Drosophila melanogaster: one gene and its partner. The gene in region 2 interacts genetically with the main gene of each other region. Each region holds a gene or a part of one and is shown on either strand. Other genes may lie near its edges.

Region 1 (5,020 bases), on a different chromosome or scaffold from region 2:
CATTCTTCTTTCTTCATCTTATTGCCGCAGCTGCGCCTTATTTCCACTGAAAGGCTTACTGACACATTCTCACTTTCACAAAGACCACGATATTGTACAAAGCTGCTCATACAAAATACACAGTTATATATATATGTACATATATCGGGAGAGCGATGAGAGCGGGAGAGCGAGAATAGAGTGAGATTGAGAAGATGCAGATGTGTGTGTGTGTGTTGCCTGTTTAACTTTAACGGAATCCGAAAAAGATCTTTCTCACTTCCTAAGAACTCCGAACCAATTCATGAATTATTGCAGATGTGAGTAAGTATTGCGAGTTTGCATGTGTGTGCACGCGTAGAATCGAAAAGTAAAGTAGTGCAAAAACAAGTATCGAATGAGCCACATAATCCAAAGCGAAAGGGTTTCATTTGTTCGGTTTTCGTTTGAAAGTCAGCACAAACCCCCCGCCCCCGTCAACGGACCCGTTCAAAGACGCTGCCATAACTTGTACACATGTATAATATAAATTAACAAACCGCTCCATCGTGTTATCAACGACATAGATAATAACACGCCCAGCGCAGAGCCTGAAAAACTGAAAAGCTGAAAAACAGTTACTGTTACAAGCTAATAATAATAACAAGAGTGAGTGCCTTGCCTTTGACCAGCCGGAGACGACAACAACGTTTGATGTTGTTGGTGGAGACGGTGACATCAGAGTCTAAATCTAGCGCGAACAGATTTCTTTTAATTCCGTAAACTAAGTGGACAACGCACCGTACTCGTACCGCACTCGTTCCGTACTCGTTCTCGTACTCGAAGTCGTATTCCTATTCCTCCGGGCGGGCATACTCGTGAATAGCGAAACCTAAAGGAAATCTACGAAAAAAAAGCTGGCTGCATGAAAAACATCACCAGCTCGAGCACTTGCAGCACTGGGCTGCTGCAATTGCAGAACAACCTGAGCTGCAGCGAGTTGGAAGTTGCCGAGAAGACAGAACAACAGGCAGGTCCGTTGCCCATCCGAATTACCCAGTCATACAAAGACACACCTCGTAAATCCAAACTCTATGCCATAAACCTACAACTCCACCCCCACCCCACACACCCACTCCACATCCAGCGCCCAAAAGTTTGTCGATCTCTGGTTTTTCTTTGGTGACTTTCCTCGTGGGTTCTCAATGCAAAGCACATGCACATGCATGGCGGGTTTTCATTTGAGAAAGTCACCCGAAAACGGAGACCTGAACTGCAGGGCACCTTCTCTCCATCGCTATAGAGTAAACTCTCCACCCATCTGCACATATCTCATACATATCGTACATGTAAACCATACATACATACATACATACATACATACATACCCAAATCTAAATCTAAGCGTTCTAAATCCGAAAAGAGAGGGCAAGCTGCCACCAACTTTCGATTGCCAAGATGAATAATTCAATGGATTAGTCAGGTTTAAGATAACACAGTGGTTCTTATAAGATGAATGGGGGGGGGGGGGGGGGTTAGCTCGAAAATATTTTGCCAACCGAGCGGATTTCGAAAAGAGCTTTTCTCGCATGTGTTGTTCATTTTGCACAGCATTGCATAATCTTATTTTTGGCCAGAAGCTTGTAAATGCAGTGTGGGAGACAATTCGCAGCACAAAAAAATCATATACATACGGATTTTGTCGATCTGGATTTTGGCGAAATATGTTGACATGTCCACGCGATCTGCTGTTTTACGATATATTTATTACCTCAGTTTAAGAGCCATCAACTTGTCTGCTGTTCACATATACATAGATACACATTATGAAAAGATATATGTACATATGGACATATACTTTTATTTTTATTACTTTACTGGCAATAGTGAGCAACGAAGACTAATCGAATAGCTGAATGTCCTATTGGAATCATTAAAAAAAAAAACCTGAAAAAGATTTGGTATACTTGTGGGCATTGTTTGCCACAACACTTGTTCGCAACTTGTCGGTTTTAAACAAAAACTTTCAAGCAAAACTACAATAATTCACTTACTATTTTTACTTCTGAATCGCATTCTACGAAATGAATTTTCTAAATGAGCTGTGTATATTTACAATAATATCGTAATACCTTTCTGCAAACAACGCAACTATTGATAAGTGATAAAAGAAAATGAAGTGAAAACAATGAAAAAGTCAACTTGGACAAGCCGAACACCATATACTCTACGAGTTACAACCAAAATGTATTACTCACGTTGGTATATGACCAGTTGCTATCACAGCTATGGGCTTCTGTAGCCTACGGAATGAGTATGTCATGAGTCATTGGCGAATATCTTTAAGAGCAACGAAAACATATCCGATTGTGATAAAGTTAATCGCAGTTACTTAAAAAAAAAAACAGCAAGCTCAGCCCATTTAGTTGACCGATCGTTCTTATGACTGCTGCGTTACTTACTCAATAAGTAAGTACTTACTCAATTTCCAGCATATCAATGAATGATAAATTTGAAGAACTTTTAGCAAATTATGAGTTCTTTACACAATTATGGTTTTCTGCCTTAAATTTCCTATGTTAAGTTAAACGTACGTAATTTTCCAACAATATTTGAACTATATAAACTTCAAAAGGCTTTCGGAAAATTTAAAGTTTAGTCACCTGTTTTAGCTTAAAATATCCTATATCCGATCAAAATCGTAAATATATCTAATGAACCATTCTAGTTTTCACTTCCTTCGCACATTTGTTGTCTATTTTCTAGCTGCCTGTTCTTAAACACTTGCTCTTAGAAAAGTATTTCGTAATTTCATTATTCCTTTATGTTCATTATTAACATTACCTCACATAATTTCATTAAAAGCTAAGAGGACAAAAGATTTATTATTAATTATTTTGTCGTTGCACCTCACAGAAATTCCTTTTTAACCTTTGCCAGGTTGCAAATTCGTTTGTGCTGACTTCTAAAGATTTTCGGCAGCAGAAAATGGGAGTGCGTTGCTTTAGGGGTTGAAATAATGAAAGGGCAGCGCACCGAACTCTATATGCCCTATGAATAATCAATGAATTAATACGTGTACAGTGTTTCGCTTAAGACAGTTTAAGTTCTATAGTGCAATTGTGAATAATTAAAATTTTTTACAGATCGTTATGCTGATTGAAAATATATTTGTACACTTTATAGGGTTAGAATCGCCACCTTAATTTCCTATAAAACTCTATTGACTTGGGAATAATTTGAAGACCTAAAAAATGATCTCTACATCATGTGTATTGATCTGTATTTTATGTAACCAAAAGATTATCCTTTTGATAGCACCTTCACACGAATATAGGATATATATGCTATACTAAACATATTGTCAATAATTTGATAATGCATTGCACTGTCCTTTTATATTATTTGTCACTAAAAAGATACGAACAATAATTTTTACCTGTTACGGTTTTCTGCTGAAAGTCAAAGTGCGTTTGGCTGTGTAGGGATTGCGGATCCCAACTTTGATCCTGAGTGCGCTAAGTACGTCATCATCGAGCTCCTTACCATCCCATCCAGGCACATTCTTCGTTTATATATGTATGTATGTATATGTATGTATAAGCGGATATATATATATGTATGTACATTATGTATGTGTATGCGACGGGGCATACATAAAGAAAATGAAAAAGCAGAATGCATACCATAAATTCCAATTGCCGCACAACAAAATTGCGGCTTCTAAGGGTAGGAATGGAAAAGGCAGGAAAAAGAACACACATTCCCTTATTAAAACCGAACAGAACTGAACAGAACGAGCAGCTGCGTGTTGAGTTTTCGAGGCGGAAATTGAGTTCAAGCGTAGGAAAGTCTGTTTCTAGTTTTTCTAATTGGAAATTATCCCGAACTGAACCGCTGCTGTTTGAATTCAGAAATTCTGAAATGCCATGTGATAATATTAATGCACGGTTCAGCTATTTTGTCCGTTTCATTACACTCCTTTTCGTCCTTTTGTGTGTGAGTGTGTGTGTGTGTGTGTGTGTGTTTGTGTGCGTGGAGTGCTTACGAGATTATGAAAAATGGCACATTCACCCCCTAAAACGATCCCAACCCCTGCACTGCGCCATGCATTTCCAAGCTGTGCAATATGCATTCTACTTTTTTGATAGCCAAACATACAGTCGTTTCCGTTTCGGGAAATTCTGGTATTGTGCCTAGGATAGAACTGGGATCGAACTGTCCCGACTTGTCCTGGATACTGGCGAACTGCTTCCATACGACGCCATTCTATTATTAACTACACCCATCTATACCATACTTTATTAAACTGAACTAAGTCCAGTTTCTTCTTAATATAGCAGATTAACTATGCAGTACTATACCATTATTTACTCTACTAACTACCATTGCAAGCTACATAGCTGACTACAAACTACTATTGCCTATTATACCATATATTCCATACCTTACACTATAACATTCTATTCCTTATCATATCATATATGGATACCATAGCATACCATGCCTCTGATCCTTGATAGTGTTGACTCGCCCCCTGTCTGAAGTTCCGTAGCACACCTTTACCTATGCTAGACTATAGACTATACCATACCATACCATGCCATACCATACTATACCATACCATACCATATCATACCCCTGCTGACCCAGACTCTCACTTGACGCCCCACACTGCAGGCTGGCTATTTGAAGGCTTCTACTTCCATTCTATTTTATTCTATCAATAGTACGCTGCGAGGGTATGTGCCACACTGCATTCTATCCGCTGTCTCACGAATACGAATGCCTAGAGCAACCATCCCTATAGGTTTATATGGGCGAAACACCAGGGGCAGAAAAGGAACCGGCCAAAACAAAGAATAGAAATATGTGGAAACTATACGGCACATTTCAGTTTGACGTGCGCGTTTCTCTTAACCAGACGCATTTTAGTTTTTGTTTCTTTGCCGCTGCCGTCCGGGATTGTTTTTTTTTTTTTTCACGCTGTGTGGAAGAAGCAAGGCGAATACAAAACAAAAATAAATTACAAAATAATTGAAATTATAATGATTCGATAGAT
Region 2 (4,954 bases):
TCGCGGCACGGGTTGTGGTGTGCAGGGACTCCAACCCAGTAGGGGTATTCCACCGTAGGCCATTACTTTCAGCTATTTTTAAAATTTTACAATTAAATGCAGCAGAATGTTTAATCAATGTAAATATTGAATATAACTAAATATATTAATAATGTACTATTTTGTAAATATATCGTCAGCAATACTTCCATTTGGCTTCACATCCCATTTTAATATATGCATTTTTAATTTCATTTATAGTCCAGTCATAACCAAATGAAATAATATAGATGTTTCTTTTTTCATGCCATATATGCATTTATATTTCATGACAAATTAAATTAAAGCCCATTGAACAATTTATTTTAACGCAGTTCAGTTGATTCATTATGATAGAATTATACTTCGCTCAAAACTAATTAAATGAAAACCGTTTGCTTCAAATAATGACATTTAAATTCACTTAAATAAATTTCTTTAATATATCTTTAACAACATGCCATTTCCTAGCTCTCCATTTAAACTTCTTTCAAATAGCAAATATAAAATTGAATCACAACTTCTGTCTTGAATAATTTTATTTTAATTCAGTTGTTGTTTGCATGAGTTGCTCTTGAAACAATCTGTTTTCATAAATAAGTGTAAATATGTTAGTTGTAGGCCACAAGAAGACCCTTGGCCACCTCCTGGACTTTCTCCTTGCCCGCCAGCTCCTCGGCGATTTTGAGGGCGAACTCGTAGGCGGTGCCAGGACCTCGACTGGTGATCAGATTGCCATCCTTGACCACCGTCTTGTCGTCCACATAGCTTAAAGAAATAATCAAAAGAAATGGGATGAAGATCATGGGAAAATAAACTTAAGAGGTGGTATACCTATAGTTATTCACCAGCTGGGGCTTCATTGAGGGATACGAGGTGAGGGATTTCCCGGAGGCGACGCCGTGCTTGGCCAAAACGGTGGGCGCGGCACAGATGGCGGCGATGAGTCCGCCACCAGACTCCTGGCTGCGCAGCAAGTCACCGACCAGCGAGGACTCCCCCATGGCATTGGAGCCACCCAGTCCGCCGGGCAGCACCACCACATCGAACTTATCCGAGGCAACCTGGGCCAGCGAGGTGTCCGGCAGGATCTGCACATCCCGCGAGCACTTCACCGCTTCCCCGCCATTCAAACCGGCTACGGTGACCTTGATCTATCATATAGTAAGTATAAGTATAGAACAGAGTGATTTAATGGAAAGGTTGAGAGCACTTACGCCCGCCCTTCTCAGAACGTCGGCGGCTATGATGAACTCCATCTCCTCCGCTCCGGGAGCCAAAATCACCAGCGCGCTTTTCGACATCTTGGTAAACTTAGAAAAGTGCCTTGAAATTTGAGGAAATCCAAAGAAAACCATGCAGATACGATAGCTTATCGATAGCGCTGTTCTGGAACGCAGCTTTGAGTTTTCCTTATCGAGGTTTCAAAAACTGAGCGGCAAACTAAAACACTTGTATAATTTGGTTTGACTTGCAGTTAGGCGACTAATTTGATGCATTTAAAACTTCTGTTTTTCACAGGAAGTTAATATTTTCATTCTTACTCAAAACAATGTTCTGCATTATATTTTAAAATATTAAGACTTTGAAATCAGTTGATTTTATTTATATGAGAAAAGGATTGCGTCTATGCTACGTGCTACACAGAAATGGTTTGAAACCTCATTAACAATTCTAACAAGTCTTGTTCTTTAAGTTAAAACCGATAACATTTACTTGCTCTCTATATTCTGTCGTATTACATAAATTTATATAAACTGATCACTGAAATATTTTTATATTTGTTTTCAGTATAATATCGATGTTTATATACCACGGTCAAATCCTATCGATACCTGATGTGGTTGCCAGACCAAGTACAGCTGCTCCTCCCTAGATCTCTGTCTATCGATATCGGTCTATCGATATGTGAACATATCTAGCACGACGGCAGCAACAAAACCACGAATTAATTTTACTAAATTTAAGCCAAACGCGCATCGGAAATGCCTGAAAAATGCGATTGAATGCACGCGAAAAGTGATGGGTTGCGAACGCGAGTGAATCAAGTGAAAATACGTCGGCAAATATCAGCGAATTGTCGTCAAAAGGCAAGGAAAAACGGAGAAAAAGAGGAAAAGCAATAAGTGCCGTGTGTGGGAAACGCGAAAAAGGCGAGAACAAAGAGGCGAAAAGCGAGGAAATTGCGTGGAAAACGTGGAAAACGCGAAGAAGGTAATTGCGGAAAATGCCTGGTGAAAATGCAACGTTTGCAGCTGGAATTTGCGTATCTTCCAGTCCAAAAAGAAAATGCAATATCTGTTGAATGTGTGCGAGTGTGTGTGTGTGTAAGCCAGTGCGTGTGTGGCTGCGCTGGTGTGCGCCCCATGTGTGTGTTGGTGTGCATTTCCAATTGCCTGTGTGGAAAAGCAAGGAAAACTGCACGGAAAACGCACGAAAAGCAATCAAAAATGTGCGGAAAAGTGCCTGAAAACGAAATGCGAAGCACACACACAAATGCAACAGGCTGTATTTACATATTTCGCTCTCGCTCTCTCGTGGAATAAATCAGTACGGCTGCGTGCGAGTGTGTGTGTGTGGGGGAGAACGGAGGAGACAAAGAGAGCGAGCGAGAGGTTGCTACACAAATCGGATTAAATTCTTCTGTCTTCCCTCTCTTTCTGGCGGAGGGTACTGGTGTCCATGGAAAACTATCAATCTCGTAGAATTTTTAACTTTATTCCAGTGTAATTTCGAATGCCAACGACATTAGGCAAGGTCAATGTATGCACGCACTTTTCTCGGTTTTCCCGTTTCCTCTTACCATTTTCCAACTGAAACAGCGCTTAATTGGCTGCGATATTCGTGTGTCGAAAGAATTACAAATTCGAGAAATCAACAAGACATTAAACAACGAAAACTGAGAGTAGTACAATTAGAGTAACAGCAATAACAATAATAATAGTGGTAATTGCGGGAATACAAGGAAAACATGGCGAAAACGGAGCAAGATTTGAATACAGTGAAGATCTACTAAAAGAAACTGCGAGGACTATTGTAGAATTGTGATATTTACTATAAAGGAAACTTTTGAATCATTGCAATTTGAAACTATGAAAATATTCCAGTTAGAAACAAATTTAATTTTCATATTTGATGGACTTAAGCAAAAAGAATGAGTCATACACAAATATCTAATAATCACAAAATGCTACTTTGATATGTAACAATAACCCCCACATATGGATATGAAATGGAAGAGCATATTCTTCATTAACCCACATAGGCAGAAGCCACTGTAGTCATAGCAGAGATCAACTTTGTGACAGTATGCGCGGTGTTGATGCAACCGTGGGCAGCAGCTGCCTCCGATTTGCATGTGACTAGAGTACACAATCAACGGAATGGGGAAAATCCGCGGGAGCAGAACAGTAAATGCACAGACGCAAGATGCAAATGCGAAATGTGGCACAAGTAACTGCGGCCCATTGTAATTTGTAATTAGAGGCAGCGCCGCCACTTCAATGTCAGTGCGACAATAATTTCTCAGGCGGCCCGTTTGTGCTCGCGAAAAAGCAAAAGCACGAAACACGAAGCACAAAGCAAGAAACGAAGGGGCGGGACATCGAGACCTCATCCTTTGTGGAGGCAGCCAGCCGAAAATTCATAAACTTAATTGCAATGAGATGCAGAATGTGTGTGACACAGCTATCTGTAGTTTGAATACTCTTTAGTAGCTAAAACTAGCAGCAACTTTATTGAATGGTTTTATACTTGCCATCAAAAGCAGACTTCAGTTCTACATACACTATTTTGTATAGAATGGAAGTAAACCATCGATTCTCTATCGGATTTCCAAATATTATGGTACACAGCTATGATATAAACAAGCCCACAAAACTTGCAACTGAAATCGAAGCTAAAGTCCAAAAAAACGACTCCGAAATGTGCAAAACTTTGTTGTTGCAGTCACTAGTGGGACGGACTACTACTATTACTACTACTACTACTGCTACTATTGTTGTTTTTGTGCTTGTTGGCGATGTTGCGATTGTTGTTTTTGCTTAAAACCAGCAAACAGCGGCGTCATCGTCAGCGACGCTGGAAAATCGCTGGGATTCCATTCACATTCCAGCATGCAATTCGCAGTGGATTATGTGAGTGTGTTGTTGTTTGTTGCTGCCTTTGTTGTAGCTGTTGTTGTAGTTGTGATAGTTGTTGTTGCTGCTGGAACAGGTGAGGCTCCATTGGCGTCGATCGTGTGCATTCCACAGAGCACACAGAGACACACACACACACGCGCGCGCATATAGCCAACGAGCAGAGAGCAGGGCAATAAATACCAATACAGTGGGCTGTTTTTGCTGTTGTTGCTCGCTTTTAAAAGTAAATGAACGATAAAACAAGAAAAGGAAGAGGAAGTTTGGCGCGGGGATTGTGACGACCATAGGGATACCCCGCAGAAAGTGTAGAACGCAATGGAGCATAGTGCTATATGGATTCCAGTGTAATCTTTAAACGATTAAACTCTTTTCAATGAAATGATTTTTGATACAAATAAAGTTAACGGATACTGAGCATCCTAGTTCCTAAGTCACATTGAAGAATTTTAGGCTATTTTCCCAAAGACCGTATATCCTAAGCTTGTGAGGGTGTTCGCTGATCTTGGGCTAATCCCAATGAAAATCCCCAACCCCCTGGAATTTTCCGCACCCCTTCTGCGCCCCTGTTTCGTTGCAATGCAAGTCGAGCGATGTTGACGACGAAAATGCAATTTAGCTCGTTTTTCTTGCTTGCTTCGATCCCCGCCCCCTTTTTGCCGACCACCTCCAGAGAGTGTGTGTGTGTGTTTGTGTGAGAGAGTGTATGAAAAAAGGGAAAACGAAACGAAAACAGAGAGATGGAGAGCGAGCGGGAGAAAGAGAGCAAGAGCAAAGGCGACCCAGCAGCAGCCGCC

What was found.
Region 1: of wts (region 2) and sd, changing one suppresses a phenotype caused by changing the other (phenotypic suppression), as found in Drosophila melanogaster (2 studies listed by BioGRID).

What each region holds. Positions count from the first base shown.
Region 1 is NC_004354.4:15,813,304-15,818,323, forward strand, and holds the start of sd (scalloped), read left to right. Parts: upstream 1-1,995; 5' UTR 1,996-2,427; intron 2,428-4,847; exon of another isoform or gene 4,848-5,020. UniProt on the Drosophila melanogaster protein: Transcription factor which plays a key role in the Hippo/SWH (Sav/Wts/Hpo) signaling pathway, a signaling pathway that plays a pivotal role in organ size control and tumor suppression by restricting proliferation and promoting apoptosis.
Region 2 is NT_033777.3:30,803,566-30,808,519, reverse strand, and holds the start of wts (warts), read left to right. Parts: upstream 1-1,900; 5' UTR 1,901-2,232; intron 2,233-4,954. Other genes in the region: dj-1beta, read right to left, coding at 630-786, 853-1,172, 1,236-1,322. UniProt on the Drosophila melanogaster protein: Negative regulator of Yorkie (Yki) in the Hippo/SWH (Sav/Wts/Hpo) signaling pathway that plays a pivotal role in organ size control and tumor suppression by restricting proliferation and promoting apoptosis.